4 linked regions of the Alligator mississippiensis genome follow. The protein of the gene in region 1 purifies or fractionates together with the protein of each later gene. This does not show direct contact. Links are inferred from orthologs where the notes say so. Each region holds a gene or a part of one and is shown in the gene's direction. Other genes may lie near its edges. The genes, in order: CTBP1, EHMT2, THAP11 and ZEB1.

What was found.
Region 2: the proteins of CTBP1 (region 1) and EHMT2 purify together in Homo sapiens (affinity purification with mass spectrometry; 4 studies listed by BioGRID and IntAct, counting the BioPlex papers as one, with this or other methods). This does not show direct contact. The link is inferred for Alligator mississippiensis from reciprocal best matches to the Homo sapiens genes CTBP1 and EHMT2.
Region 3: the proteins of CTBP1 (region 1) and THAP11 purify together in Homo sapiens (co-immunoprecipitation; 4 studies listed by BioGRID and IntAct, with this or other methods). This does not show direct contact. The link is inferred for Alligator mississippiensis from reciprocal best matches to the Homo sapiens genes CTBP1 and THAP11.
Region 4: the proteins of CTBP1 (region 1) and ZEB1 purify together in Homo sapiens (affinity purification with mass spectrometry; 9 studies listed by BioGRID and IntAct, counting the BioPlex papers as one, with this or other methods). This does not show direct contact. The link is inferred for Alligator mississippiensis from reciprocal best matches to the Homo sapiens genes CTBP1 and ZEB1.

The regions. Positions count from the first base shown.
Region 1 is NC_081825.1:16,478,107-16,485,960, reverse strand, and holds the start of CTBP1 (C-terminal-binding protein 1), read left to right. Parts: upstream 1-4,848; 5' UTR 4,849-4,912; intron 4,913-7,854. Other genes in the region: E3 ubiquitin-protein transferase MAEA, read right to left, coding at 4,058-4,126. UniProt on the Homo sapiens protein: Corepressor targeting diverse transcription regulators such as GLIS2 or BCL6. Has dehydrogenase activity. Involved in controlling the equilibrium between tubular and stacked structures in the Golgi complex.
Region 2 is NC_081834.1:62,582,435-62,590,281, forward strand, and holds the start of EHMT2 (histone-lysine N-methyltransferase EHMT2), read left to right. Parts: upstream 1-4,847; 5' UTR 4,848-4,904; coding exon 4,905-4,913; intron 4,914-5,091; coding exon 5,092-5,140; intron 5,141-5,224; coding exon 5,225-5,404; intron 5,405-5,572; coding exon 5,573-5,838; intron 5,839-6,102; coding exon 6,103-6,175; intron 6,176-6,294; coding exon 6,295-6,380; intron 6,381-6,679; coding exon 6,680-6,829; intron 6,830-6,946; coding exon 6,947-7,084; intron 7,085-7,571; coding exon 7,572-7,683; intron 7,684-7,847. Other genes in the region: ZBTB12 (zinc finger and BTB domain-containing protein 12), read left to right, coding at 1,848-3,557. UniProt on the Homo sapiens protein: Histone methyltransferase that specifically mono- and dimethylates 'Lys-9' of histone H3 (H3K9me1 and H3K9me2, respectively) in euchromatin.
Region 3 is NC_081833.1:34,252,487-34,260,468, reverse strand, and holds the start of THAP11 (THAP domain-containing protein 11), read left to right. Parts: upstream 1-4,982; 5' UTR 4,983-7,222; coding exon 7,223-7,982. Other genes in the region: CENPT (centromere protein T), read right to left, coding at 351-487, 1,460-1,553, 2,606-2,699, 4,328-4,456. UniProt on the Homo sapiens protein: Transcription factor, which has both transcriptional activation and repression activities. Also modulates chromatin accessibility.
Region 4 is NC_081828.1:192,323,070-192,331,081, forward strand, and holds the start of ZEB1 (zinc finger E-box-binding homeobox 1), read left to right. Parts: upstream 1-5,001; 5' UTR 5,002-5,050; coding exon 5,051-5,108; intron 5,109-8,012. UniProt on the Homo sapiens protein: Acts as a transcriptional repressor. Inhibits interleukin-2 (IL-2) gene expression. Enhances or represses the promoter activity of the ATP1A1 gene depending on the quantity of cDNA and on the cell type.

The DNA.
Region 1 (7,854 bases):
AGGTTTAATTATTATAACTTTATTACAGAAACCCTAGTGGGCTGGACTGTGTACAAATATACATAGCCTTGTAGAAAATGTATGATTTGAAAACAAAAGTGGTGCCAAGGAACCTGGAAGAGGAAAAAGGGTGACAATTAAAAACCATATTTACTTGAATCCAAGAAGGTCTCAAATTTAAGATGGCCCCCAATATTTAATTCTATATATGGAAAAATTATAAGTGTGTTATGATTTCCCATGTCCAGAATTTAATCATCAGACAGTTGTCTTAAATTCACACCCCCTTCCCGCCACTGCAGCAAGAAGTGGCAGGAGATCAGGGGGCAAAGGGAGGACAGGAAGCCTGATCCTTGTCCCCTGTCCGTCCCCCACTGCCTGCATCCCCTTATAACTTGTCCCCCAGGGTGCACGTGCCCCTATCACGGGGCTGCTGGAGCTGCTGCTGCTATTGCCTAGCCGGGCCGGGGCCAGTCACCATGTTCTCTGTGCCCAAGGTCAGCGTAGGGCCACAGTTACAACTAGGGGCAGCTGCAACTGCAACCCTGACCCCAGCCTCAAGCCTGGGTTAGGGCCAGGGTTGGAGCTGCAGTAACAGCCTGCCCCTCTGCCTTGTACTCAAATCCAAGACAAGACCCACCCCCCACGTTTAATGGGGGGAAAAAAGCCTCGTCTTGGGCTTGAGTAAATATAGTATATTCCTTAGTATAGCACATGATATGTCTCAAAAGCAGTCTCGTGTGCCTTTCTCTGTTTCTGTAGGAAGGAAAGTTGGCTTGAATGTGGGATCAAGATAACAGATACTAGTACGTGTGTGCATTTTCCCCTGCCTGTCCAGTCTTGGAGCTCTTGTACTCTGGGACAACTTACACAAGTTGGATACATTTCACCCAAGAACAAACACTGCACTAGGTCTAGCTCCAGTACTTCTCCATCAGTTGTCTACACCAAATGTTGAAGAGTGGCCTTCAGAAATCAATGTCTAACATTGCTACTGCCTCCTTTCCTAACAAAGTGTAGCTGCTTCAGTTGGCAGTTATTACAGCTGCAGCTCAAAGCTTCCTCCTGTCATTACTCACAAGCCCAGGTAAAAATATTTGGATAGGTAGTCATCCCTTTTTTTTGTCATAGTAATTCTGTTCAAGGGCTAATTATATTTCCAAATAAACAGCTGAATTATCTAGTCTTCTGACATGACTTGTTTAGTAATATGTTATCAATGAACTATGTCAAGAATGTTACCACCGTGTTGTTTTTTTAAATCCTTATGTGAGGTTTCCATACACAACGCAACTTCAATTATCTGAATTAAATGAGGACCAAAACTGGTTCATTTAAAAAAAATTAATATGCACTTCATTACCCAAGCAATTAGATGAACATGCTCCAGCTTCATACTCCTAAGCAAATTTGGTAACAGATTTGCCATGGTTTAAAATTTGCTGATTATTTCAATTGTTTTTCCATAATTGTTAAGACAGTTCTTTCCTCTTGCTTTTAATCACCATTGCTGCCACTCGCACCACAAACCATGTAGGCTGGCAACATCCATTTTTTGGCTATCTGAATAGTTCAGAAAATTGAAGCTCTACTGTATTATATTTTCAGCTGAGATGTAAAAGCATAATTATTTACCAGTGGGGATTTTTAGAGATCCCATATCACTACTAGGGCAGATGCAAAAAATCCTTGTGTCCTGAACAGGAAAGCAATTTGGTTTGTTATGTTTTGTATGCTCAAATTGTCTCGTAGATTCAGTTGAATAGGTCACTTTACTTTCACCTGAAAAAAAATCATACTTTGTAGAATGCCTGATGCACTTCCACTCCAGAAGCAACCACAATTCAGCTATGGAACAGGGATTTCCCTAAACAGTTTTAAGCACTTTTCACATGAAAGGCCTTCTCTCTGGAACTACTGTAATGTAGAGCTATTACACAACTATTATCTAGTGACGTTGGCATGAGCAAGCTAAAGGGAGGAAACAGGAAGGATATAAATATAATTTTGCATTCCTTTCTACTTCACTTGCATCGGAGAAAATTGCCAGTGTCCACAGAGCTGGAACAAAATCTCTGAGCTGCCACCCCAGTGGCCATCATAAAATGATATGCCTGCATTTTATGATCTGTTCTTTTAGAGGCTTAAGAACTGACAGAAGATGAAAATACACAGGCCCAAATCTGCAAAAGGTATTTAGGCATTTAACTTCCACTGATTTCACAACTGTAACTGCATTATAAATTTGTATCATTTCAGTAGATCTAAAATGCTTAAATACCTTTGTGGACCTGGGTCTCAATCTCTTTCTTCCTTTCCTCTTTTTTACATCTAACATCAGATGGATTTTATCTTAGCATAAACGTGGCTGAGACTTCAAAATGTCATTCAGAAAAACTTAAAGAAACATGTGAAACAGAACAACTATTTTTACAGTTATTTTCTGATTAGACAGAATCCTCCTCCCCCCCCCCCCCCCTTAAAAAAAAGGCGGAGAGAAAAGGAAAAAGCAAGCAATGCACCACACAACAGAAAGGAAGTTTCTGGGGTAGAGGAGATAAGAAGTAGTGGTAAGCATTCCACATGCTATCTAAACAAACAACAGTTAACGCTACTGATATAAGGTTATCTCAGACTGTTTATAATTTTGTGACAAGTAAGATTTCATTCTCTTCTCAAAATGTTTTGCAAGAAAATCCTTATGAACAAAAGTATACTTGAAACTGTCTTATAATCAGTCCATCCTCAAAATCTGTGACACTTGCTAAAATCACCTTACATAAAATATAAAAAGCAAAATAAAACAGTGATCCGCGTTAATAATGAAGAACACAAGAAAAAAAAACTGTTTAAGCACAATATGGATGTGTCAGTAAAACAGCTCTAAAATGGGCTTCTTTGTCTATGAATTCCTTTACACAGTTGCTGGGTGCAGAAAGTATCATACTGTCTTTTTAAGAAATCTTAAATTTTAAGCCAGACCTCGTCACATTTAAGCACTCCAGAATGAAGGGGGCAGGACTGGTGGTGGAGGAGGGTGGAGTGAAGGGGGTAGGGCTGGCGGTGGAGGAGGAGGAAAGGAAAAGCAAGAGAGATGGATAGAAATAACATGGACAGAAGCCTGCAAAGACAAATAAACCAGAACCGCATGACATTTTGCATATAAAAGCATGATATCAGCACAAATTTACTTTGCACAGCACTTTGCAAAGCACCTTTTAGGCCTTAAAAAAATAAAAAAATAACAAACATGAGAATTCACTGGCATTACAGATGCAAGAGGCCTATTTAAACAGTCCTGCTCCCCCCCCCCCCCCAACTTAACCAGTGCAGGATCAAATCCTTACAGCAGCAAACAGACGGATCGAATTCATACAGAACAGATTCGAAACGACGCTCCCACTGCATGGGGGGAGGGGATGGGGACACAGGGGAGAACGGGGACAATCCCCAGTTTCAGCAAATGTCACTGCTAACAACCTTCAACAAATTTTGCTCACTTTCCTGGTGACAACATCAGGGACCAGATACGCAATTCACTTCTTCCCACCCTTCAAAGGGCATTTCACCCCCTGCCCCCCCTCCCTCGTCACACCCTTGTGTCTCCCCAGCACCCGAGCTACGCAGCCACCCGAACCCCAGCCCCTCGGCTCATCCGTCTCCCCTCGCCCCCTCCAGCTCATCTCCATCTTTGGAGAATCAGGAGCCGGGGAACCATATTCCACCCCATCCCCCACCCCCCCAATCCCTCCATCTCTGAACAACGCCATGCAGCTCGCTCCTCGCCCGCAGCCCAGCCCCAAATCGCTGCCTCACGCCTCCCCCTCCCAGGGCAGCCCCTCATACCCCTCCCTCCTCACTCAGCTGCTGCTCAGGGGCCTGCACCCCACCCCGCCCCCGGGGGATGCAGATTCCCACCCCTGAGGGGAGCATCCAGCCTGCCTGGCACCAGCCCTGCCATTTGGGGTGGGGGGTGAGGACCCCCCCCGCCTCACCAACCTGGGGGCCACAATGCAGGGCTGGGGGCCCCTGAGAGCGGCCCAGGCCCGGCACCCACCTTGAGAGTGGGATACTCCTGCACCTTCAAAGTCATTGAGAGCTGAGCAGCTGATTCCTGCACCGCCATCTTGGATTGGGCACCCGCCGCCTCCTCCCCCCCGCCCGCGCGGAGCGACCTACCGCGCGCGGGGCATGATGGGCCAGCAAGGACTTCCTCCCGCCCCGCCCCGCCCTCTCCTCCCTAAGGGGGACGGCCTGAACCACCGCCTGCTCCCTACCCCCCCAGCTTCCAACAGCCTCATGGTACACTCCACTAGAACACTTGGTAGCAAGGGAGAGCCCTCCACCAATCATCGAGCCCCTTTCGGTGGAGAAGTGGCTCACTGTCAAAGGGCAGCGGATTGGAGGAGGGAGGAGAAAGGGCCAGGACTGCCTGGCAAATGAAAGAGAAGAACGCGCGCTCACAGGCGGGCCTCGTTGACGTGACGGACACATCGCCACCCAATCCTTTAACAGCGCCTGGCCTCGGAGCCAATCAGAACCGACCCTCTGCTCAGGGGGGCGGGTCCGAAAAGTAAATTTTTCTGGCCACCGTTTTAATGACCCCCCAAGGTGTCCGTGGGGGGAGGGCGGGTCAGAGGTGGGAGCCTGGAGGAGGGGGGCGGGCGTGCCCTTTGAGTGGCACGCCTCCTGACCAATGCTTGAGCAGAGCTCGCTGATGGGCACAGCGCGGAGCCAATGGCAGCTCAGCGTGGCGCGTGGAGGGGGGCGGGCGGAGCCGCCGCGGCCGCTGGCCGGAGCGGGGCTGTGCGGGCGGAGGGGGGGAGGGGGCCGGTGCCCAGTAAGTTCCGCGGGGAGGAGAGAGGGAGTGAGGCGTGAGGCGGCGGGAAGAGGTTTAAATAGCGGAGACAGAGTGAGTCCCCGACCCCCGGCTCCTCCGCCCCGGGACACCTGTGGCTGCCTCCGTGCGCGAGCGGGCTGGGGGGGCCCGGGCGGCCTGCCAGCGGGGCAGGCCGGGGCAGGGCTCCCCGAGGCGGCGGCGGCTCCTCCACAGGGCCCGGGGTTGCTTGGGGAGGGGGGAGCGACAAAAAAAAGCACCCTGCGGGCCCCCGGCTGGGTTGTGTCGGGCCCATCCCTGGCCTGACAGGTTGAGCGCTGCTGGACTAGCCAAATCCGAAGCGCCTGAGCTCGGCTCGCAAAAGTTTGCGCGTCCCCTGAGAGCAGCGTGTCGCGACCCAAAAGTGGGGCGCGAGAATAGACGAGCAAACTAAAAACGGATCAGCCAACTTTTTATTTATTTATTTTTAATTTTAAATAGGGGTTCTCCTTTCAAGGAGAAAAACACGGGGAAATGGAGGCTTTTCCTTCGCAGGATGGCCCCTTGTGCACCCCCCTTCCCCATGCGCTGTGGGGCTGGAGTGAGGGCCGCTGGGGCCATCGGTGTTTACAGATGGGTCCTGGGACCACAAAAAGTTTGAGAACCGCTGGTCTAGAGTGGGGTGTCAGCTGGGGGTACATGTCCCCCATGGGGGGAGGGGTATGCAGGGGTGGGCGCTGCCTCCCTGCCTGGGGTATTATGATCCCAGCACTCATTCCTGCGCAGGGCAGGACTTGATCTGTTCAGGTCCCTTCCGACCCTAGCGCTAGGAAACCTGGTGCCAATGCCTGAGAAGCAGGGCTGGGGCGGGAGGAGAGCAGGCCCCTGCTCCGTCTGGCTGCTCGACACCCCCTCCCCGCGCTCTGCATCTGGCCACTTGCCAGTCCCGCTGGGGGCACGGTTATTAAAAAAGGAGCTGCTGAAGGAACACCTATTAAAAAAGGCTGAAAATCCCTGATTTAGAAGACGTATCTCTACCCTGCCTTCTGCGTGACTTCAGACTTGCACGTGCAAAGCTTGTTTAAAAACATGACCTGTGCTTAAACCTAGCGCGGAGCCTAGAATTTGCCCGCAACCAGCTGACTTGTTTCTAAACGTGATTTGTCCTGTTGGCATCGAGTGCAAAGTCTTTGTTTAAAATTTGTTATTAGTTAAAAAACATAGTTGTGAGCTGTACCTGTAGTTTTGTGTTCAGCCGCCTTGTTTTCCTTGTCTACACAAGCGCTAAGAGCGAGATCCTACAACTGGATTTATGTGCGTTGAAGTCGATTGACTTGGTTGAGGCTCCATGAGGTTTGCTTGGGCTGTTCAGCTTGGAGGGCTGGAGTCCTAATTGAGTGAATGGTATGCTACAAATCTTTGCATCACTGTGTTTCCCTATTATATTCTCTCACACGCATACGACTCACATAGTATGTTTTAAGGGGCAATTAAATAGACATGCTGGATTACATACATGTACTAGTCATGCTAATGATACGAACTATGAAAATAGCAAAGAATACATTACAACAAAATGTCTATTGGGCTCAGGTGCGAAATCTACAGCTATTACCATTAGATATATGTAACCTTATATGTAATGTATTTAGCTATGTCCATTTACATATATCCAAGAATCTCAATTTACCATAGTTTTTATAACTGATAGGCTTGATAGTTATCTTCAGTATTGTTCCAACTGACACAGCGTATCACAAATAGAAAGCAATCAGGTGGATATGGTTATGTGGTCAAAATGAGTCTGTCTGACCTGTAGAGCTGTGGGTGAACATTTGTCAGAAATGAGTAGCCAAAGTTGAAGGTATTTGCTTAATGGAACAGATGGCTGAGCCACCATCATGTCACAGAAAACAGCATGTATTCTTAGTTTAACACAAGAGGGAGCATGTCTAATCTTTAACCTTTAAATATTGCAACTTCAGAGAGGCAGCTTTAATTGTTCCATGCCAACTAATTTATGTTCTGCGTTGCATGTATAAATATTGATACAGCCTGTGTATGCATTGTTGGCATATTTTCAGTTTAAGGTTGCAGCAATTAGTTTATCATGCAAATATCGATGGAGAAAGTGTGTGGACAAGAACCACGTTAATAAGTTAAAATCAGAATTCTGAATGATGTTAAAGAACACTGATCAGTAACTGCCTATTGAAATTAAGAGCAGAATAAATAAAAGTATTGTAAACATTTGTGTACAGAAATGACATTGTGGTTTAAAAGACTATGGTTTTTGTTTCCAAGTTTCTGCTGCTTAATCCACCCTCCCTGATCTAATTTAAAAGAGTTGAAATGCTTTCCATTTAATTAATAATTCAAAACAGATTAACTTTTTATATACAGTGGCCAATTTTTAAGTTGTATGATCATTTTGTGACTCTTATAACAGCCAGGAAATGTAAACTTGGGGTAAATTAAGGAAGGAGTGTATGCCAGATCTTGTTTCTTTTTTCCTGTCCCCTAGTGGTGTGAGAGAAAGAAGAAATGTCAACTTCAATTTTGCATCTTCTGGTTTTGTCCAGTTCAAGTCACAACCTATTAATGTTTATCCTCTTCACATATTTTATTAATAAGAATTAACAATTAGTTGAAATTAAACACTGCTGACATAATTCTGTAGGCCTACAGAAGGCCCTTACTTGTTTTAAATATTTTGGTTTACATTTTGAAAGAGAGATTAATTTTTGGAGGAAGAAATGCCACATCCAATGCAAGTGCTTAATTGCTTTGGTTATATGTATATCAAAATGTAAATATTTTGTATATTATCTGCTGTAGTAATACAGAAACTTCATTTGTCTCCTTTGGGCAAGTAATTATATATTGAAAATGTGTATTGATGACCTTTTGCCTTCAATGGCATAAAATACACCATGAGATCAAATTTTTGCCAAGGTAGAAATCATATGAACAGTGTGAACAGTATTATATGTAATATACCGGATACATGGACTGTGTTAGAATAACTTGTCATCAAT
Region 2 (7,847 bases), on another chromosome or scaffold:
TTTAAACCCTGGGGGTCCCAGGCCCCCCGCTCCCGCCCCAGCCCCGCTCCTTGCCAGAGTGCCCAGGTGTGGTGGCGAGGTGGGGCTCCTTTAAGTGTGAATGTGGGCGGGGGAGCTGGTAGCTATGGTGATTCCAGGAGAAGGGCTCAGAATTCTCTCCCGGCGCCCGGTGATGACATCCCGGTGCCCGGTGATGGCGTTCGCGACATTGAAAGTGGAGGGTGGGATTTAAAAGCTCCGTTCCTCCATCGATCCCACAGTGCTCCGGGGCGGACTCCCACCCCGCCACCCATCCCACAATGCTCCGAGACAGCCTCCTCCTCCGCCTCCTCCCCTTCAGCTCCCACAATGCACCGGGGCAGCCCCGCCCCCACTTCCCACGCTGCTTTCAGGCCAACACAAAGCCTCTTCCCACAATGCACCACGCAGCCCCCCCTCAACCCGCCCCCCGCCCCCTTAAGACCCCCCCTCTCCCTTGTGTCCAATTTCTATCCGGCGGACAAATAACCGCCCCCCCTTGGTGGGCGCCCTGTCCCTTTAAGGGGCCCCGGCCTCGCTCGGCCCCTTTAATTCGCTCGCTCCGGAGCTGCCTCCCGGTTCGCAGAGGCGGGGGGAACCCGGCCCCCCCACGCGCCCGGTCAGGGGGGGCTGCGGCGGAGGGGGGCGTATAGGGGGAGGGGCTGGGGGGTATGCAATAGAGGGAGGGGCTAGGGGGGTGGTCGTGCCATGGGGGGAGGGGCTGGGGGGGTCCATGCAGTGGGGTGGAGGGGCTCCATGCAGCAAGGGGGAGGAGCAGGGGGTCCCACAATGGGGGGACATGCAATGGGGAGTGGCTGGGGGGGTCCACGCAGTGAAGGGGAGGGCTGGGACAGGGGTCCGTGCAGTAGGGGGCAGGGATGGGGGGGGTCTGTGTAGCGAGGGGGAGGGGCTGGGGTCATCCATGCAATGGGGCAGGGGCTGGGGGCTCCAGCTATTGACCCCCACCTTTCTCTTGCAGCTTCATCAGGTGCACCCCACTGTCGGCCACCTGGAGCTCTCCCAGCTGCCTGCACCCCCCTGCTTGGCCCCTCCTGGGCCCCCCCACCCCCATCTTCCCCAGTGCGTCCCAAACCCCATCTCCACTCTCCTGGCTCCCCCATTCCCTTCCAGCCCTGCCCCCGTCTCTGCCCCTCTCCTTCCCCCCCAGCCCCAACTCCTTCACCCATTTCTTGCCCCTGACTCCCCCACCCTTCCAAGCCCCCCCAAAACCCCTGTCTCAGCCCCCCAGGCCCTTCCAAGCCGCTCCAGCTCCCCCCAAACCCCCCACTTCCCCACAACCTGCCATCTTAGCTCCCCCAGAGCCCCTATCTCAACCCCCCCAGGCCCCTCCAGCTTTTTCCAACAGTGCCCGCACTCATCCAGCCCCCCGAACCCCTATCTCCTGCCCCCCAAGACCACCCACCTGTCCCCAGACATCTCCAAGCCCCCCAAACCCCTATCTCAGCCCCCCAGACTCCTCCCCAAGACCACCCAGCCTGCCCCAGAGCCCCTCAAGCCACTCCAGCTGCCCCCAACCCCCCCAGCCACTTCTGAACCCCCCTCAGACACATCCAAGCCCCCCCGTTTCTTTCCCCTAGACAGGCCTCTAGACACCCCCAAGCCGCTCGAGCTCGCCCACTCTCAACCCTCCCAGGTTCCCCCAAATCCCTATCTGCACTCATCCAGAGCCCTCGGGTCCCCATAGCAACCCCATCTCAGTCCCTCACCTCCCCAGGTCCATCCAACCCCCCATCTCGGCCCCTCCAAAGCCCCTGGGTCCCCCCAGCATCCCCACCCCGGCCCCCCAGGCCCCGTCTCTGGGCGCAACAATGGCATCGGGGCCGGAGCTGCTGCGCTTCCAGCTGCCAGGCCACGAGGCAGCCACGCTGCGCAACATGAACCAGCTGCGGGCCGAGGAGCGGTTCTGCGACGTGACCATCGTGGCCGAGAGCCTCAAGTTCCGGGGGCACAAGGTGATCCTGGCAGCCTGCTCACCCTTCCTGCGCGACCAGTTCCTGCTCAACCCCAGCTCCGAGCTGCAGGTCTCGCTGGTCCACAGCGCCCGCATTGTGGCCGACCTGCTGCTTTCCTGCTACACGGGTGCCCTGGAGTTTGCCGTCCGCGATGTAGTCAACTACCTGACGGCTGCCAGTTACCTGCAGATGGAACATGTGGTGGAAAAGTGCCGCAATGCCTTGTCCCAGTTCATTGAGCCCCGCATCGGCCTTAAGGAGGACAAGCCAGGGGCAGGCGGGGGCCCGCGCCCAGCCCCCTTGCGCCACACCAAACCGGCCCCCCGCAAGCCTCGCCCACCTGTCAAGCTGGAGCTGCGCCTGGCCGAGGAGCCTGAGCCCAAGGATGAGGACGATGATGACGAGGAGGATGACGGGGATGAGGATGCCGTGTCCGACATCTGCATTGTCAAGGTGGAGTCAGCCTATGAGGTGGCCCAGCGCCACCGCAAGCAGCACCTGCTGCAGCCTGCCTGGGCCAAGGATGGGGCAGCAGGGGCCAGCTGGGTCAAGGACGGGTCTTCTACCGCCAACTGGGTCAAGGATGGGTCTTCCACAGGCAGCTGGGCCAAGGATGGGTTGTCGCCAAGCAACTGGACAAAGGAGGGGTCATCGGCGGCCAACTGGACAAAGGAGGGGACATCGGCAGCCAACTGGGTCAAAGAGGGGTCAGCCATGGCCAACTGGAGCAAAGAAGGGTCTTCCATGGCCAACTGGGCGAAGGAGGGGTCATCGCCAGGTAACTGGGCAAAAGAGGGGTCGTCGCCGGGCAACTGGAGCAAAGAGAGGTCATCACCGTCCAACTGGGCCAAGGAAGGGTCGTCGCCGGGGACGTGGGCCAAGGAAGGGTCGTCGCCAGGGACGTGGGCCAAGGAGGGGTCGTCACCAGGGGCGTGGGCCAAGGAGGGCAGCTGGGCCAAGGAGGGCCCCGGTGACGGCGAGGGTGAGGACCCGGGCCCCGAGGCGGCCGGGCCAGCACCAGGTGAGCCAGGCAAGGCGGTGCCAGGTGTGGTGAAAGCCCGCTATGCCCTGGCAGAGGACACGGAGGGCGAGGGGCTCCTGCTGCTGCCCCCGGGGGCCTACCTGGAGCCCGGGCCACCCAGCGGGGGTGGGCACGGGGCCGGGGGTGCGGGCGGGGGGCCGGCGCGCTGTGCCAAGTGTGGCGAGGCCTTCCAAGGGGTGGAGAAGCTGGTGTTCCACATGCGGGCCCAGCACTTTGTCTTCATGTGCCCGCGCTGCGGGAAGCAGTTCAACCACAGCAGTAACCTCAACCGGCACATGAACGTGCACCGCGGCGTCAAGTCCCACTCGTGCGGTGTCTGCGGCAAGAGCTTCACACAGAAGTCCACGCTGCACGACCACCTCAACCTGCACAGCGGCCTGCGGCCCTACCGCTGCTCCTACTGCGACGTGCGCTTCGCTCACAAACCCGCCATCCGCCGCCACCTCAAGGAGCAGCATGGCAAGACTACGGCCGAGAACGTGCTGGAAGCCAGCGTGGCCGAGATCAACGTGCTCGTCCGCTGAGCCAGGGCTGGGTGGGGTGTGGGGGGCCCAGGGGCCTGGAGAACCCAGGTGTCCAGGGTCCAGATCCCGTAGCAGGTAGAGATCACAGGCATCGGGTGCCTGGACCCTGCTGTGGGTGGAGAACCCACACATCCAGGTGTCCAGATCCCATAGCAAGTAGAGAACCCAGGTGTCCGGATCCCATAGCAGGTAGAGAACCCAGGTGTCCGGGTGCCTGGACCCCACTGAGGGTGGAGAGCCCGGGTGTCCGGGGTCCGGATCCCGTAGCAGGTAGAAAATCCGGGTGCCTGGATGGCATGGCAGTGCAGAACCCACAGCAGACAGAGGACCCAAGTATCCAGGTGCCCGGACCCGCCATGGGAAGAGAACCCAGGTGTCCAGACCTCATAGCAGATACAGCAGGGGTTCCCAACCCCCGGTCCACAGCCCGGTGCTAGGATGGGACGGGCTGGCTGCCGGACCAGAAGTGATTGCGGACCGGCAAACTGCGGACTGGAAATGATGGGGATCCTGCAGACTGGCAGCCAACCCTTCCCTACGCGGAGTAGAAACAAGGGTTGGGGTTGGTCCGCAGTTTGCCGGTCCACGGTCGCTTGCCGGCCCTCAGCATAAGAAGGCTGGGAACCCTGCGACGGAGAACCGGGCGTCCGGTGCATGGGTGAGACCCCCGGTGCCCAGGTCCCGTAGCAGGTCGAGATCCCAGGGTCCCGACTCCCCGGCGGAAGGAGGCACCAGGCGTGCAGGAGTCTGGCCCCTGGGTAGTGCAGGTCCCGCGGCTGGAGAGGACTGGGGGGGGGGGGGGTGAAGCGGAGTTGAGGGTGTAATGGGGGGGCCCGGACGCCTGGGGTCTCCGGAGGGGGGGCGAGTTGCCATCAACCAAAGAATAACCACGTGAGCCCGCGGAGGGGCGGGGCCTGGGGGCTCCGGTAGCAGTAGCAGTAGTAAGAGGTATTACCCCGTGGTAGGCGGGGCTAGATGGGGCGGGGCCTAGACCCTGCTGGGGTGGGGGGCGGGCCTGGGCCCGGGGGGCGGGGCCATAGAGGATTAACCGTTTTTAGACTTTTTAACTTTTTTTTTAATTAAAATAATTCAAAAGGAAATAAAATTTGAGACGTTTTTATTGGGGGGGAGGCGGGGCCCGGCCGCTTGGGTGGTCTGCGGGGGCGGGGCCGGGCGCGGACGACCGGGGAGGGGGGGGCCCGGCACCACGTGGACCCGAACAATGGGCCGGGGGGGCGGGGCTCCGGGCGGGGCCGCGGCGCCTTTAAGGCTCCCGCTCGCCGTGACGTCAGCGTCGTGACGTGTCGCCGTCGCTCCACCCCCACCCCCAGCTCTGCAGCCGCAGCCATGGAGGCGGTGAGCGCGGGGAGCCGGCGGGGAGCGGGAGCCCGGGGGGGCGCGAGCCCGGGGGGGGTGGGAGCACCCGGCGGCCGGGCGCGGGGGGGGGGGGGACCCGGGCGTCCGGGCCGGGCGGCGAGGAGCCGGGACGCCGGGGTCCCGGCGGGGCTGGCGGTTGACCCACCCCCGCCCCCAGGAGCAGCTGCCGGAGGCGCTGGAGGCCGCCGCAGACGCAGGGGACGCAGGTGAGATGGGGGCACAGCCCCCCGCCCCCACTCCTCCTCCCAGCCCCCAGCCCCTCCCCCTACTCATCTCCCCCCCCCCCCCAGGGCAGCCCCCCATGGGCCAGGGCCCCCCCCCAGAGCCCTCCGCCCTCCTCTGCCCTGCCGAGGCAGGGGCCAGTGGGGACGAGGTGGCACCGAGGACCCAGGTGTCTGGGAGCAACAAAGAGCCCGAGGCTGAGAGCAGCCCCGCAGCCGGCGCCAGCCCCGGGGGCAGGGGGCTGCCAGGTGAGGGGCTGCGGGTCGGGGGTCGGGAGTGGGGGGCGCCGGCAGGGCTGGGGGCCGGGGCTGCGGGTCGGGAGTGGGGGGCACCGGTAGGGCTGGAGAGGGAAGGGAGCCAACTCCTGGGGACACCTGGGTCCTTGGCCCCATTCTCACTCCCTTCCCCCCCGGTAGGCCACGCTGCCAAGACCCTGCCGTCACCGCCAGTGGGGCCCGGGGGGCCCCCGAGCCGGGCCAAGATGTCACTGACCGGGGCAGGGAAGTCGCCCCCCTCGGTGCAGAGCTTGGCCATGCGGTTGCTAAGCCTGCCGGGTGCTGGCCCTGCCCCCAGCATGGGCCCCGCCCCTGCTGAGGCCCCGCCTTTGGCACCCCCAAGCCCGGAGCCCAAGCCCAAGGTGCACCGGGCCCGCAAGACCATGGCCAAGCCCGGCAACGGACAGGTGGGTGCCAAAATGCCTGGGTTTCCTCTGGAGGTGGGGGTCCCTTTGCCACATGGGTTCCTTCCCTAGCCTGTTCTTTGTGGGTGGGGGGGTCTCCCAGATGCCTGGGCTCTTCCCAGGGGTTCTGCGGTGGGATGGGGGGCAGGGGTCCCAGATGCATGTGTCCCATTTGTGGGATACATTTGGCTGGGTGTGGGGGGCAAGGGCTGGCAGAGGTTGGGGGGTGCCCCAGATGCTTGGGTCCCAGCCTGCTGCCCCCCCCAGGTGCCAGAGAAGCGCGTCTCCGAGATGCTGCACTTCCGCGTCTCCGACGATCTCCGTAGCATCGAGGAGCCAGGTATCTGGGTTGCGGGTCGGGAATGAGGGGTACTAGTGGGGCTGGGGGGGCTGCAGGTTGGAAGTGAGGGACACCGTGAGAGTGGCTGCCACCTCCCTCATGCCTTTGTATCCCCCCAGAACCCGCCAAGCGCCGGAAACTGGACTACGGCCCTGAGTCCCTGCACAAGCGCCTGCCGCCCACCTTGCCCCGTGCCAGCACTGAGGTACCTGCCCCATATGCCTGGGTCCCCTGAACCCTGTCCCCAGGCACCTGGTTGCCTTCCCTTCCACTGCATCCTGGACACCTGGGTTACCTACTCCTGACCCCACCGCTGCAATGTCTGGATCCTTTTTCCCTTGATTTTTCCCCTTCTTTCCTCATAGACACCTGGGTTTCCTTCTTCTGACACCCTCCCCTTGCACCTGAGCTCCCTACCTGGGAGCTCTCCCTCTTGGGCGCCTGGGTCCCCGTCCAGCTGGGAGCCTGGGCCGAGCTCTGACCCCCCCGCCCATTGCCCCCCAGATCACGGTGACGGAGGAGATGGCAGCACGGCCATTGGGGCCAGCGGGCGAGGATCGGGGCCCCGATGAGTGGGAGGCCGAGGTGGGAGCCGACTTCAGCCTCTTCTACGACAGCTACTCAGTGGATGGGCACAATGACTCGGACAGCAAGGTGGGGGCGCGGGGGCTGGGCTGGGCATAACAGGGACAGGAGCTGTGGATGGCTCTGGGGGACGGTGTCAGGCTAGGCCTGGACACCTGGATTCACCATGCTGGGCCCCACCCGCAGTCAGAGGCGGATGGGGCTGGGGAGCAGTTGAGTGAAGAGGAGGAGGAGGAGGAAGAGGAGGACGAGGAAGAGGAAGAGGAGGAAGACGATGAGGACGACGATGATGAGGATGAAGAGTCCGGGAACACCTCAGATAGGGTGAGGCCCTGGTGGGGTCGAGGTCACCAGGGGTGGAGCGGTGTACTCCAGAGCTGAGGCTGGATGGGGTCAGAGATAGGGAGGAGGGGCCTGGGGAGTGGGCTCAAGGGCTTAGATTGCGTGTGGATATGGGGTCAGAGGTCAGGCCTGAGCTCAGCAAAGGTCAGGGCTCAGAGTCTGGGGTGCATGGCCTGTGAGGGTGGGAGTCAAAGGCCTAGCATGGGAGCTTGGGTGTGCAGAGGTCAGAGACCACAGCTGAGGGTTTGGTTTGTGGAGTGTTGGAGACTTAAGGGGAGAGCGTGGCTGGGGTCACAGGGCACAGGTCAGGATGGGGTGGGCATTGGAGGTGGGGGAACTTCAGGGATTATGAGAGGGCCTGGGGGCTGTGGGTTGGGTGTGAGGGGCTTGGGGAGGGCAGGGGGCTGTGGACTGGGAGTGAGGGGCACCAGCAGGGCTGGGGGGTTGCCTCACCTGACCTGCCCCCCAGAGCGCATCAAGCACCAAGCGGAAGGCGCGGAAGCGCTGGAAGAGCGACAGCCCCTGGGTGAAGCCGTCACGCAAACGCAAGCGCAAGGACCCCCGCCCCAAGGACCCCCGAGGTGGGGGGGAGGGTTCTGGGTGTTCTGGGGAATGTTAGGAGGGGACTGGGGAGGGGGAGGATCCTAGGGGGGTTCTGGGTGCAGTGCCCCTGGCAGGGGATTTGGGGGGGGTCTCAGGATGGGAAAGTCAGATGCTGGGGGGCCCCCAAGAACTCAAATATCCC
Region 3 (7,982 bases), on another chromosome or scaffold:
CGGCTTTAAAAGCCTAACCACCTATATTCTTAATATAAAAAAGATGGCCTTTGACCTACTCCAGTGTCTTTTTTGTACTTCCAACATGCACCAGGGCCTGTTACCACTATACAAGCTAGTTTAATTGCTAATAACCGATGCTTGTCACCCTACATCTGCTTAATAGTAGCCTTAGTCCCATCTACAATAAAAAAAAGTTGCAAACATTTTCCCACTGGTGCTGAAAAGCATAGGAAAGAGACACTCAGCAGCGAACTACTGCAGCTACGAAGTTCAAAAGGAATCTTTTGAAGCTCTTTGAAAATGATGATGTGAAGACTCAAGCAAGGAGCCCCCGACTGAGGCCTTACCCAGGTTTTGAGAAGATCGCTTATCCACTGCTCTCTCAAATTCAGAAATGCTCAATTTCCTTTTATTCCTACTCGTGTGAAATGTAATTATAGCTGTATCCTCAGAAACAAGGTCTGGCAGCTGTATCTTCATGCTACTAAAACAAAGCAGTGAAACTTATAGTGCAGGAATGTTAAAGATCCAGGCTATGAAGCCATATCCTCTGCCCCCCTCTGCCCCCAGTGCTGGCCCTGGGTCTTGAAATTTCCCACAAACAATACACAGGGTCCATGCGCAGGCCCCAAGAAGTGCGCCACACACATCAGCCACTCTAGAACCTATGCTATATGCAGCACCTGTGCAGGTCCAGTTCAGGACACCCTCCCCCCAACAATGCTGGATCCAGTGACCAACCTGGCTGGTCCGGGACTGCACGACCCACTCTGGGGCACAAGCTATGTGTAGTACAGGTTCTGGAGCAAGTAGTAAAGCCTTGGACTGGCTAAAATGGGATCTGGCATGCAGAGTTGGGGAGGAGATAGGTCCGTGGGTCTTCCACATGCCAGATACAGCTCTCACCCCAGCTGGTCACAGATTTGTGCTATATACAACGCCTGCCCCAGTCCACCTGGGGCAAGCACTGCATGCAGGTCCAGTCCTGGACTGGCCAGAGTTGGCACTGCAGGCCTGCACCCTGTCTACTGCAATGGTGCTCAACCTTTTTGCTTCATTCAGAAGAATGGCACTACCTCCACTCACCGTGCAGGACTGAGTACTAGGGGCTTGGTGCTGCCCCAACCCAGCCAGCCCTGCACACTGGAATTGGGCATCCCATCCAGCACACAGGGCCTGGGGCTCCTCATGGGTCCCGAGATTTGGCACCACACCCATGGGGAGGCCCTGCAGGCTAGATGGAAAGCTGGATCTGGTCTGTGGTCTGAAGAGTGAGCACCCTTGGTGCTCACATCCTAAGAAATCATGTCTTCATATAGCTAAAACGATTTACATTACAGACCTTTAAACAGATATTTTTGAAGCATTTGCACACCACATTGGAACTCTGAACTTTCTGCCAGGGGAGGCAAAACAGCCTCCTCTACAACTTCATGACTAACAGAAATGTACTTACGTATTAGAAAGCCTTTCTGAGTGGGTTTCTGATCCAGACTCTCTAGGTTCCCAGGGCTCAGTTATTTTAGGAACCACAGGTGAAACCTCTGGCTCTGTAAACAAAACAAAGTACTTCATTACCACAAATGAACCTAGGAAAAGTGGTAAGATGCAAGTGAAGCAAGAGAAACATGCTTCAGTTCTTTTTCAAAGTAGTGGTCACAAATTTTTTTTAAATATATATTTATTCACCAATTAAGAGTGCAGCAATGGAGTCGAGATGGAGAGAACCATTTAAGATCTGCTCCTCAATGAAAGTGAAACGTGTTCTCAAAAATAAGCTTTTTCAGAAAGGCATCTTGCTGCTTAGGTCTTATTTAGGGTTACTAAAATTAAAAAAAAAAAACAACCAAAAAAACAAAAAAAAAAACCAAACACACAAATGAGGAAACAGCTGGTAGCTCATAAATGCCCACCCCAAGGCGGTCATAAGTTGGAAATTTTCATGCAATTCCTATGAAGTAGGTGGGATAAGGCATTAATGATTTACTTGTTCAGTAATTCTGATAACAGGAGACACAGAGGCAAGATTTTTTTGCTGTTCTGCAAAGGTCAAGCATTTACCTTTGAAAGTGAAAATTTCTTGTATAAGCCTTTCACAGTTCTAATAACCTTATAGCTAACATTTTGTATAAAAGCATGGTCTTCGTAAAAGAAGGTCTGAATTTCTCTCCCCCACCCCCAACAGAGTAAAAATTATGAACATCTCTCTCTTCTCAACTCTTTTAAAATTGCATCTTAGATGCAACTACATAAGGGGTGTGTATCAGGAGCTGGGAGAATGTCTGTTCCACCAGGGCACCCCAAGGGAAGACAAGGTCTAACAGTCACAAACTCCGGAAAGCCCATTTTAGGTGGACATAAGAAAAAACTTCTTTACCATCCACGTCCCCAGAGCCTAGAATAGACTCCTCCCAGAAGTGGTGTAAGCACTTACTCTGGACACTTCCAAGAAACACTTGGATGTCTATCTTGCTGGGATCATTTGCCCCAGCTGACTTCCTGCCCCTTGGGCAGGGGGCTGGACCCAATGATCTCGAGAGGTCCCTTCCAGCCCTAATGTCTGTGAAATGTCTGATTTTCCAGAAAAGGGGGTTATACTTACGAGTCTGGAAGATTTTTCTGAGTAGCAACCTAGGTGTGGCAGTTTCAAGGTCAGGGGCCATAGTTGGTTTCTGTTTCCTCGAATCAGACAGATGCTTAGTAGAGAAAGCAAAAAGAGAACTACTTTAAGCATTCACATTCATCAATAAATCAGAACCTTAAGAGTAACATGCTAAGGACATATTTTCTAGTGATAAGCTTGTGAAACTCCCAGAACCAGAGTTCTTATATTTTGAAAATCACAAAAATACTGTACCACAGAATGATTGCCCTGTTTGAGGTAGGAGCAAGAGGCTTTGCCCCAGTGGTCCCCCCGCTCTTAGAAACTACAAGCAGAGTAGAAGAGGCTGCTCCACCCAAACCCCCAGAGTCCAGTCTGGGGCAAGTACAGGGAGTCTTTCCCTGCTGCTCCACTCCCTGCTGGGATCAGGAATGACTAGGCACATCTCCCCAGCCTTCCTCAGATTAGGAATCACCCCAGTCTCAGAAGGCATGGAGGGCAGGGGAGAAGAGGTGGCTGTAAAAGGATTTCAACTCAAGCGTCACAGTGGCCAGGAACTGCACCATTGCAGCAACAGCCCAAGCCCCAGCTTTTGCTGGGGGACTAGCAGCTCCACCAGCATCACAAGCAGAAGCCCCTTTACTGCAACCTGATCCAAGGTTCTAGGCCTCTGGTTGTGGTGCCAGACTGGCAACTAGTGCCCAAGCAACAGATAGGCATGGGATTCCATGGCAGTAGCCCATGCCCTGGTGAGTGGAAAATCTCCGTTACCTGGCCATGGCAAGGCTTTCTATGGCAGTAGACGGTGCCCTGGCTTTCACTGGGAGGCAGACAGCTTCAGTAGCACTGGGGCCAGTGCCTGCTGAGCCAAGTCTTTTCTCCTGGCTTCGGTCACAATAGCAAGGCTTCTGCCAGCCATGCTGCTCTCCCCAAGGTGCTGCTGCAGCTGCCATGCCAATCCCAGCACTGCGGCCAGAGTCAAGGCAAAAGTTTGGGGCCAGATGACCCAGGTGAGTGGGCCATGTTTGACACCCTTGACATACGTCCTAAGTTTTTCAGGGTGAAGACAATCTCTGAGACTGCAGTGCCCACACAACAGAACTCAGTCTCAGTACATTACTGCAGAAGAGACAGCAGCATGAGTGAGCACGAGCCGTGTATCACAGAGAAGATCTGCTATGGAAAGTCAACTAAAGAACTATCAATTCCAGAGAAGAAAGCCCTGGAAGAGCTTCAACATCTATTTCAGAAACAGCCAAAAGCCTGTGGTGGAGCAGTGTAACCACACAGACATTCCCTCACCAGCCTCTGAGCAGCTGTACTTAAACAACTAAACTTGAAAAAGCAACTTAGACCCCACTGCAAAGAAATCGCCCACAGACTGGACTGAGTTAAGCTTTGCCTCCGCAGGGACTATGGTTTCTCATCTCATTGCCTGGACTGGCCGTTTCCTCCCTCGTGCCCCCAGGTATTAACTGCCTCCACCCCAGTTCACTTCATCAACCCACTCGTTCCCTCGCCGCGCGCGGCCCGCCCCGCCCCCCCGCTGTCCCGAGCGCGCTTGGCTTTCACCCGCGGTCGGAACCAAGCTGGGTCGGGCCCTGGGGGAGGTCCGGGAGGAGCCGAAACGCCTGGGGAAGCGGCTTCCCCGCCGCGCGGAGCGGAGCGGAGCGGAGCGGAGCGGGACGAGGCGAGGGGGCGGCGCTGCGGATCGACAAGCACCTTCCGCCTGGGCGCCGGCCGGGCCCACTCCTCCGCTGCGCGGCGCGGGACCGCGGACGGGGACACGCCAGAGTCGTGGCCGAGCCCAGCGGAGGCGCTGGTCCTGGGGGCAGCCGCGGGGTCCGGCATGGCTGCGGCTACAGCGGGCAGAGGCGCCGGCCACCAAGCGAGGGGCAAGAGCGAAACCCGCCACCCCGCCCCGCGCGGCCAGGGATGCGGGTGGGAGAAGCCAGGCAGCCCCGGCCCCGAGCAGCAGGACACAGCCTCGCCCGGACTGGCCCGCGGGCGGGAGGCGGAGAGAGACAGCCCCGCCAAGGGCCCGCTCCTGCCGCCGTGCCTCCGCCTCAGCCCAACGGCACAGCCGACTCTCCCGCCTGCTGCTTCAAGCCAAGTCTCGCGAGAAGCGCGGTGCCTGATGGGAGACGTGATTCCAGAACCCTTGACCTCCCGCTCCTCGGCGTGAACTGTAGGGCCGTGTAAGCAGCAGCGGCGCCCGCCTCGCGCATGCGCAGTAGGCTGGGACGAGCTGTGCTGCGGGACTGTCCGCAGCTGCGTGGTTTGGACGAGGCCGCTCCCGGGACGCGGGTCCAGCCTGCGCGCATCACACCTCCCTGCTCTCGGGGGCGGCCTGGTTGCCGCTCTGAGCCCCACAGGGATCATCCTATAACGAGGCCTACAAAGGCCTCCCCGCCCCAGTTAAGGTGGGGCCTGGCAGCTCACCCCAGGCTGGCGCCCCCCGGGGTTCTGGAGGTTGAGCTTACTTTAGAAAAAGAAAAACAAATGCATTAAATCTCCGCTCCCTGCATCTTTCCCAGATATATTAAGGGTCTAGATGACTTAATACAGAGGGTTTCCCTAGGCACTGCAGCCCTCTGCTCCTGCCGTCTGAGAAACGGGTAGAGCTCTCTCTTCAGACCCTGACCTACCTTGCGCTTTCAAAAATACTCTGTTGAGCACTGAACTAGATCTATGAAACTTGAAAAACAGTACTGGTAAATGTTCAGAGACATATTGTTTAGCAGCAGTGATCCAGCTTTTTCCATCTGCTGCAGAAACGTGGATTTTCTCCTGTAATGGAGAAAAATGCGGATTTTCTCTTTTAAAGGTGAAAAATCAGATTTTCTTCCTTAAAAGAGAAATGCAGAATATGGTAGGTTCCCTTTGGAGGCTGGCAGAGTTCCAGCCTACAAGGGGCTGCAGGGAGGTGGAGGAGTAATCAACGCAGGGGGTACCACATGCATGTGTGCGCAAGCTCGTGCATGTGGTGGTCAGGCAGCAGTGGGAAGCAGCTCCTGTAAGTCAGTGACCACCAGCCACGCAGGTGTGGCAGGGAGGGGCACAGGCCACAAACTGGGAGGACAGTGGAGACATGTGACCCCCAAGATTTCTGCACCCACAGTGGGCATCAGGCTGCACTAAAACTGGATCAGCTCCAGAGGAACTACCTTCACAGCCCAGCATGTGGACCCAGCATGGGAGGGGGTGCCATGCTGAGGCATGGTGGTGCAGAGTTGTGCCCTAACTGCTGCTGGGTGGATGGGGGGGCACCTCACCTTGGTGGCCATGGCGGTGTGGTGCAACTGCCAAGCTACATAGGTAGAGGCCAATCAAATTCACAGCATAAGGAGAGTGTGGTGGCTCTTTTAATCTTGCATATTCCCCTGCATGGACCTTGTTCCCCCCCCATCCCCAATTAACAGAGAACCCCCCCCTCCTGATCAGCAGGGAAGCTGAAACCATGGTTTTAAACTTGTTTTTGCCTCCCCCTAGTCAGCAGCAAACAGCAGGGCTGTCCAGGGCCCCTCAGCCCCCTTAGCAGCCACCCGTATGAAGTGGCAATCAAGGCATTTATTTTTGGCACGTGCATCATGAGAAGTAACACGGATGCTGCTGGTCAGATTCGAGTTTTAAAGCATTCCTTTTCTAGGAACTCTGCTTTCTTAACAGCACGTACTGTACGCCAGTGGGATCCTGGTGCAGAGCTGGGGCTTCAAGGTGCTGTAATAATATAGATAAATAATGGCTGGGCACTGACGGCCTTCACAGCCTGCCATGGCTTTTCAGTGTATTAATCGAGAGGAGGCACCTGACGCAGACACTACTAGTAACAGAAGGGACAGACGCGGCTGGAGTAGGAGCCTGCCGAGCAGACCGACGGCTGCAAGGTGCCTGTTTTCACGCCGGGGCCCGTCACCTCCCGCCCGCAGCTGACAGCAGCGTACGCGCGTCTCGCAGCAGGTCTGGGTGCCCCACGCCCCCGAGCCTAGGGGAAGCGGCGCCAACAAGCCCCGAGGCCGGCCCGCCACCAGCGCTTGCCGAGGAATACGGTTTGGCCGCAGCCGCCTAGGTCAGGCTGACGACGCGTGCGCCTGCGTAGTGCGCAGCATTGTGGGACTAGCGGCCGCGGTCGCCGACTGGTGGTTGTCCCGGCGCCTTGGAACGGTGCGGGGTGCGTTGTGGGGCTTGTAGTGACGCAAGCCACGCGCCTGCGCTCTAGAATCCTGGGAACTGCGCACTTCCGCCGCCCGCTCGGCTCCTCCTTAGGTGGGGCGTCCCCGTACATGGTGGGAGGAGGCTCCGGCACAATAAAGCCGCGGGAGCCCAGTGCATTGTGGGTGCTGTAGTTTCACCGTGCACTGGAGCGCCGTGGGGCGCGCTGCTCCCGCCCCCACTTCCGGCCCGCGCCCGCCGCCTTGTGGGCCGGGTAGTTCCGGCGCGGGGCGAGCCCGCCCGCGCGGTGCATTGTGGGCCGGGTAGTTCCGGTTCCCCTGAGCGGGCGGCGTTGGCGGCGGCGAAGGCCGCGGTTGGCCTTGTGGGAGCTGTAGTTCGGCGCGGCCCCGCGCCCGCCGTCCCAGCCGCCGGGGCCGCCGAGGGGCCCCGCGCGCGCCCCCCGCCATGCCGGGCTTCACGTGCTGCGTGCCGGGCTGCTACAACAACTCGCACCGCGACAAGGCGCTGCACTTCTACACCTTCCCCAAGGACGAGGAGCTGCGGCGCCTCTGGCTGAAGAACGTGTCCCGCGCCGGCGTGAGCGGCTGCTTCAGCACCTTCCAGCCCACCACGGGCCACCGCGTCTGCAGCGAGCACTTCCAGGGTGGCCGCAAGTCCTACCTGGTGCGGGTGCCCACCATCTTCCCGCTGCGCGGCGTCAACGAGCGCAAGGGCGCCCGCGCCCCCCGCCGCGCTCGCCCCGCCGCCCCGGCCCTGCCCCAGCCCCAGCCCCCGGCCCCGCCCCAGCCCCCGGCCCAGGTGGCCGCCGCGCCCGCCCTGCTGCTCGCCATCCAGGACGGCGCCGAGGCCCAGCAGCTGCAGCCGGGCCAGGCCCCGGCAGGGGGCGCCGGCGAGGACGTGAAGCCCATCGACCTGACGGTGCAGGTGGACTTCGGGCCCGAGCCGCCGGCCGGGCCGGTGCCCGTGCGGCTGGTGGCGGCGGGGGCGCTGGGCGAGGACGGCCCGCTGGAGGGCGGCCCCCCGGACCACTCGTACTCGCTGTCGTCGGGCACCACGTCGGAGGAGCTGCTGCGGAAGCTGAACGAGCAGCGGGACATCATCGCTCTGCTGGAGGTGAAGATGAAGGAGATGAAGGGCAGCATCCGCCGCCTGCGCCTGGCCGAGGCCCAGCTGCGCGAGGAGATCCGCGAGAAGGACCGCCTGC
Region 4 (8,012 bases), on another chromosome or scaffold:
TAGATAAGTTGCTTGTGAAGATGTTCTTCACTTATGTTCCACGATACTATAAGGAAAAACAAAACAAAACACTACCACCACACACAATGGATACCTGAGCCCAAAATTAATGAGTCATGCTGTTGAAATGGTCAACACAATGTTTTGGACACAAAGCATTTGAGATGATTACAGGACTTTTCCAGAGCATATTCTTTATTTCCCAAAGTAGAAATAGCATAGTTATGGAGTGCATTTGCAAATCAAAAATGTTTATTCCAAATATGCTATATACAAAGGATTTTTGTGATAAGATCCAGAAAGTAAAGCTGGCATGTGTGCTATACATTTCATTTATGGAACAAATTATCAAAAAGTGATATATAACATCAGCAAAGATGAACTGCCTATAGCAACAGACGTATCTCCATGGGCATTTTAAATAGAAGGGGAATGAAGAGTAAGCAAGACAATCAAAGTGATTAAGAAATAGTCTGGATGCTCATAAATGAACAAAGAAAAATTCCAAAAAAATCAAATACACAAGTTCATGAAGTCCAAAGCAGGTGTAATTTATATAAGTGGTGGTTAACATCAGGCAGGTTCACTATTAGTCTTTCAAAGAATCACTTCTGACTAACAAGCAAGAAATCTCAACAGTTTATTAAAATGCAGATGGTGCTTTTCTAATTTTTTTGAAATCATACATAGTTGGACCAGAATTCACATTTGGCAATCCTAGCTTCGGGGCTCATGTGAAGAGGGAAGCTCATGGTAAAGTATTCAAATGGTGAAACAAAAAGTGTTTCATCTAAAAGATAATTAAGGAAGAAAAAAAGTTCCTATTTTTTGTTAAATATCTACCAAGTCTATTCTAAATACATTTATAATCTATAAGGATCTTTTCCATTTTGATTCATCAACTGTAAGAACATTCACCTTAAAAACAGATGACACTGACTTGAAAGCAAAGAATAAAAATCAAGGAACTGATTAGAATACACCACAGGTTCTTAACTGAAACTCCTAGAAGTCACGCTTCATTGCATTAAAAACAACTGTAATCCAGTTTGTTTCGAAGGACACTTTCAGGCAGCAAACTCTTTTTGGTCGCTCCTCTTAGAGTAATTCTAATTCTTCAAACTATGATTTCATATAGTAAAGTGATGAATATACTTGTAAAATAGAAATTCATTTGGCAGTGAAAGCAAAAAGTGCTTTATGAGAAAGAAAGATCTAGGGATCAAGGAGGCAAAGTCAAGTGAAAGTGAACATGTTAGTAAAGAAAATTACAACACAATAAAAAAGTGAAATGAAAGCGGAAAAAAGCAGTTTAATCAGTTAGTTTTTACTGACTAAAAGAATGCATATTCCATGTAAAAACCATAAATCTCTACAGCAGTACTTAATGGGTATCATGTGGAACTTTATTTAATGAATGTCTAACGTACACAAGGATGACACAAACAAACAGAAGATTTTTACAATTTAATTTTTTGTTCAACTGAATAGCAAAAGGATCTTAGCCTGGTATAATACAATCAGTGCACATTTTGTTAAAAGCAAAGATCAGCATGGTAATCATTCGTGAAAAATATACCATTTTCAAAAGGGCTTTACAGTAGACTTATACCAATGTAACTATTAAAACAGTTTAATCATTTTTGTCTCTCTGTGCAAATAGACTTCAGAAGGAAGGCAATCTATTAACACTGAAATTTGCTACTCGTTTGCATAAGAAAACTTTCAGGTCTAAAACATGCAAACATATTATGCCATTATGCCCCTGGAAATAATTTCATACAAAATTCATATGGTTATTTGTGAGAGTTGCCCACACCTCTGAAATTCTCTCTTTAAAGAAATATGCTTACAAATCTGGCTTTATTTAGAAAAAGCAACAAAAGATACTTCTTTGCCCAGACCTTTACAAAGGGTTAAATTATTAATCTGTAAATTCCTAACTGAAAGGTCAGATTAAAAGCTAAAGCCAGTAGTAGAGAATAGTGTGTTTTTAATTCTTATTTACAATAAATTGATGCAATCAAAACCTTGTTAAGATGTGCCCAGGCATCCTATAGATGGTATTACTGCATTTAACAGTTAGTCTGAATCAGGGATCAGTTAAAACTGAAGTATGGTGATTGATGATGACTACCATTTATTATGACAATTTTTAATACAGTAAATGAGAATATATTTTGTAAGATTTTGTAAGAGGATGCATGATTCCCTCAGTTGCTTGGTGATTACCATAAGTATACTCTAGTTCAAGAGATCTACATACCTACTTGTCAATTGTGACTACAAAGCTTTCCACACTAAGTGGCAGTAGGAGGCTAATCATCCAATTTATGTAAAATCTATCCTAATTTTGTGGCTCCTGATCTTTTGGACACAAACATACAACTGGTTTACATTAAGGAGCTTACTAGTGTTATCTTTAACAGTCTACATACTAGTCCAATATCTCTATTATTTCTATGCTACTGAAGTATGAAAGTGAGAACCCTTTTGCCAGTTTTTTCCTCTTCAGGTGCTGGAGGTAGTAAAGACTGCCATCAATTTCTCTCTGTTGTTGCTTGCAAATCTCTTAGAGGTAAGGCCCTGAATAGTCACTGTAGCTTGTATAAGTGAGGGGAAAAACTCCAAAGGTGAAGAATAGGACACAGACCGCAGCACTTGGAGTGGCTAGAAGATTAAAGAAGCAGCAACAGAGAAACAATCCTCTCTCAAAGCAGTCAGGAGGTTTTGGGGAAGGAAACAGTGCCCCTCTTCTCCCTCCCTGCCGTCAGTGCAAGTACTGGGTGGAGATTTTAACTTTTTCAGAATAAAGAGTATAAAAAATAAAAAATATTGCTTTTATTCAGAGATGAACATTACATAACTTAATCAAAAGGAGCTAACTGAAAAAGTCACCTTGTTTAGATTTTGGCACCATGTGTGCAAGAGAGAAATTTTATGAAATCTTCTAACATTGGGTTCAAGTGGTAAATGAAACCACAGAGCTTCTCCACCTGCTCCAATTGCCTTCTAAAAGCAGAAAGAACTGTAGGACGTAAATACCAAGTGACATTCACCTAAACAATTAAATCTAGAGAGTACACATGTATTTGTTATGTGTGTGGCTAATACTGCAGGCCTCAACCTACAAGCTGTTCCACAAAGATGTCTGCTTCTATTGAAGAGCTTGTAGGACCACAACCCCAGATAAAAATTAAAGCTCTGCATCATTTTGCACCATCTTTGCCGTTTCCCCTCTTGTACTTCACTCCCCTAACAGTAACATTTTCCGTTTTTTATTTCACTCTTTATTGCATATTCCATGTCCCTTCTGATTCTGAAGTACCCTTGCACTTGGGTTTCAGAAACTACAGGCAAATATTAAATTAAACAAATGCAAAGAAATCTGTGAGAAGTGAATTAATTTCTATTACAGGATCTATAACCCATCTTTAAAAAAGCTTAGAGGGCAGGTCCAGGTCCACAGCTAGTGCAAGTCAACTGAAGCCAAGACAACTTACACTAACTAAATACTGAATTTAAATATGGATCTTAAACTTCAGTTTCATAAGCATGAACATATACATGATCCTGACATGTGCATATGCATGAGGGCTGAAGTTTTGTGCACATGAACCCCCAAAACCATAACTCACATTTTAAAACATAGCCTTTAGATGAATGAGAAGTAGAGGCGCAGTCAGGTCACTTTGGATGGATCAGTCACAACAGACTTTAAAAATTTGTGTAATCCCACTTTTTTCCAGTCTCAGGCATACTTTTAAGTAACAAAACATCACTTCAGTTAAAAAACAAAACAAAAACATAACTGCTCAATTGCTACCAGTATTGTAAAATGTATATACATCCTACTTACTTTTCACTCAAGAAAAATATTCAGAATACTTACTAGTTCTAAACATTTCCATCTTATCCCTAATCTTTCTGCCTTTGTTTAATGGGCAGGTATCCGCCCATGATTATCTCACTGAAAAACTGGGTTGTTCAAGCTTCACGGACTTAACCTAAAATAACTTGCTTGAGTTAAGCACCTGTAATTGTTATAGGCTTCTTCAGAAGCTGCAGATGCTAAGCATCTCTCATGTCGAAGAGGTCCTTTTCCTCCTACCATTTGACAACATTTCTATAAGTTCAGGTCATATAGTACAGAACTGTTCCTGAGCAGGAGAACTAGGACATGAGCGCGGCTAGGGACAAATGGGATACCGACTGGCCACCTCTGGGGGTCCTAAGTGGAGTACAAGGTGAAAAGTCAGCATATGGCAAGAATGCTCCAGCGTCAATTAGTGTGTCAGGCCTCCAGTTTTGGTCACTTCAAGCTCAAGATGTAGTCATTAAAAAGAGGGGAGGGAGGAGTCTTTCATTTTTGTTTTCAAATTACTTAAAAAATAACATCTACTTAGTTTTCAGGAGGGGCTGTTCTGTCGGTGGTAAGAGAAACAAGTTTGTACACACACACACACACACACACACACACACAGTCACACTCACGCAGCCCACAGGTCCGGGCTGGCCCCAGGAACAGGCGTCGCACGGGGGAGGCGCAGCTTCTCCTCGCGGTTCCCTTCCCGGGCGGGACCCGCCAGGCGGTATCGCAGCGCCCTGCGCCGTCCCCCTCGGGGCCACCTGTCCCTGTCCGTGCCCGTGCCCGGACGCGCCAGCTGCCGCGTCCCCCGAGCAGGTGGCGGCGCCGCGGGGCAGAGGCAGCACCTGCAAGCGTCTCGGCTCGGGGGCAAACGGAGAGGGGCCCGGCCCCACCGCTCCCGGGGGCCCCTCTCCTCTCCGGCCCGCACACGCGCCCTCCCCCCGGACCCCGCCAGTACCTGCGGGCGTCCCTTTTCCCTCGGCCCGGTTCAAACGCGCTGCCGTAAAGCGCCCGTCGCCCCTGGCAACAAGGTTCCGGCCGCGCCGCGCGCTAGGTGTGGGAAGGTGATGTAAAAGTAAAACCACCCAGTGTCGTAAACCAGGTCCGGGGGGGAGGGGAGGGGAGGGCGGGGGAGGGCGGGGGAGGAGGTGACTGGAGCATTTAGACACAAGCGCGAGGATCATGGCGGATGGCCCCAGGTGTAAGCGCAGGAAGCAGGCGAACCCGAGGCGCAATAACGGTCAGTGCGCGCGGGGCCGGGGCCGCGGCCCCTCGGGGCGGCGCGGGGCTGGGGCCGGCGCCGGGGCCGGGGCCGGGCGGGGGCGGCACAAGTGGAAAGTCCCGTCCGAGCCGGGCGCCGCCGCACCGTTAGCTGCGATCCGCTACCTGGCGCCGCCCGCTCGCTCGCTCGCCCGCCCGCTCGCTCCTCCGCCTGGCGGCGCCGCCGGGACCGTTACACGCGCCCGCCCGCAACTCCCAAACTTCCCACCTGTGCGCGCCCCGCGAGGGCGGCTCGGCGGTGCCGCAGCGGGCAGCGCCCGGCCCCGGCGCGACTCGGCGGCCGGCGGAGCGGGACACGGGCGATCCATGAAGTTTCTCGCCTCGCCCCGGCGGCGGAGCTACCTGCGCGGCCGACGCTGCCGGGCCCGGGCGCTGGAGCGGAGCGGCCGCAGCCTATATAAGGCACGGGGGGAGCCCGCGGGCCGGGCCGCTCGGGGGACGGCGTCGCGGCTCGGCGCGCGGGGCTGCCCGGGGGAGGCGGCCACAGGGCGGCTCCGTCCCCTCCCGGGCCAGGCTGCCTTTCATGTGGCGCTTCCTGTGCGGCTCGGGCTGGGCAGGCTGCGGCCCCGCCGCGTTGCCGGGCGGGCGGGGGCATCGCTGCCGGGCTGCCCCGGGCCGGGCCTGGCCGCGCCACGGCCACTTGTTCCGGGCCGAGCAACTTGCTGGCGCCGGCACTGATGCGCTTTTTATAGCGAGTATCGGCGCCCGCCTGCGTGTGTGTGTGTCTGCATGCACATACGTGTATGTACATCTAAGTGCGTGCGTGCCAGTGTACATAAATATACTCTCGTATGCGGGGGGTGTAAAGTGTGTGTGTAGACCTATACAGACGCACACTTACACGTGTGTGTGTATGTACGTATATGTGTGTATACATACACACACGTCTACTAACTCTGTTGGCGTGAGTATAAAGTGTGCGTGTGCGTGTCTGTGTGTATATGTCAAGGTGCTCATTTTAATTCCTCATCAGTATTACTGTTTTGCTGCTGATGTGGCTTTCTTCAAGGTAAGTTTGGAAAGTGCTTTTCTTCTTTCCTGCCTTATTTAAAACGTCGCCGATCGGGGGTGGGTAGGGGGGAAGGGGCTTTTCTCCTTGCTGACGACATGCGTGTCGACATGTGAGTCTGAACCACCCAGTGTCTGGGCAGGAGCTGTAAACATGTTTACCTGAACAGGAAAGAAAATGGATTTTTCTCTGAAAGATCCTGCGATGCGAATGTCGGGCTCTTAAAACGTAGCAACAGATGACTGGAGGGTGGATTTTTTATTTTTTTTTTCCCTGAAAACCTAGCTTTTGAGATCGTCGGGGGGAAAAAGAGGTTCTTGATCGCTGCAGCAAATGGCAACTTGTGCAGGTAGAAAAAAAAAAGATGGTGTTTAGTTTTCTCCTGCATGCATGTCAGCCCCCTCCTGTCTGCTGCTTTCATTCTCCAGGGAGGGATTTATTTACCACGCTTGCTGTCAGTGTTTTTCCTTTGTGCTTAATATTAGAAAAACAGATTTGAGGCTGTTTAGCACGAAATGTTTTGTCTGCAGCATGTAGCTCTGACAGAAAACAAAAGGTATATAAGACATTATATCATTCCAGGTATCATTCATCTTCATCACTTTTGGCCCTCATCCTTGCACCCTTTTTGTTATCAAAGGCCTTTGATTCTTTATAAACTAGTTCTTTGGCATAGAATTTAAACAGTTTTTTCCCCTACGAATTAAAAACAACTTTGTAAGCCATTGTGCAGTGAAGCATCAGGATCGGTTAGATAATAGATGCTGGATAATAGAGATTTCTCAGCAGTGGGCTCATGTTTGACTTGCAAATTTTACTGAAGAAAATTGGTAGAAAAATGTTAACCCTTAAACCTTTATCACAAATAGATAAATAAAATGATATCTATGGCAAGCTTCTAAATATACTTTGTTCTTAGATGGAAAGCTTTCTGTTAATCAAAGATCAAGGTATAGTAGATTCTCCAGCAACTGTAGTGCTAATGATATGCAGTAAATCAATTTTACTCTGTTCCAATCTCCCTCTGCATCCCCCCTCCCCTCACAGGATGGGAGGTATTAAGGGGAGGTATTACACTTGCCATCCAGGAACCCAGTTTGACAGTGTAGACTATGACACCGAGCTGTATGCTGTAAACTTTAATGCTGTGTTCACATAGTGGCACAACATACCAATGCTAATTGACTTACCGTTAGTGTTTTGATGCTGTATGCTCTGTTTTTTAAACAGCTATGCTCTCTCTTTCCTGAGTGGAAGTCCAAACTTATGGCTGCCAGTCTGGTACATTAACTCTAGATAAGAAAAGATGTGTGACTGACTGTCTGTTTCTAGAGCTGGTTCCTTTGCTGCCTCCTGATTTGGTCATTACAGGAAGCAAACAAAAGATTTGATTGCTGTTCTATAAAGACTTCACCTTGTCTTGCACTTGGCTCATTCCTAAATAAAGCTATGGGAGCTCATTGACTAAAACCAGTACAATAAATACAAAAATATTAAGCAACCAAGTGTGTGTGTCTTCATATCCTAATAACTTTATTCTGATACTGCAGAAAGAGTAGCAAAATGTTCAGTTCAGACTTTTTTGTATTTTTCTTTGGTGAGGGGAGGTGGAGGGAAGGGAAATGGGAGTTCCTGAACCTGCAGTCCTGCAGTTCCTGAACCTTCATAGATGCAGCCTTATGCTGTGAAGAGAGAGCCTCTTTGGCCCTCTCCAGACAGGCGCGGCTGTGTAGTATGTGGCACAGCAGACACATCTGCGGCGTCACATACTATGTGTTCAGGTGTTCTCCATACTGCAAGGGAGCAGCGAGGGGTGGGGGTTGACCCCTGGTTATCAAGGAATCGAAAATAACC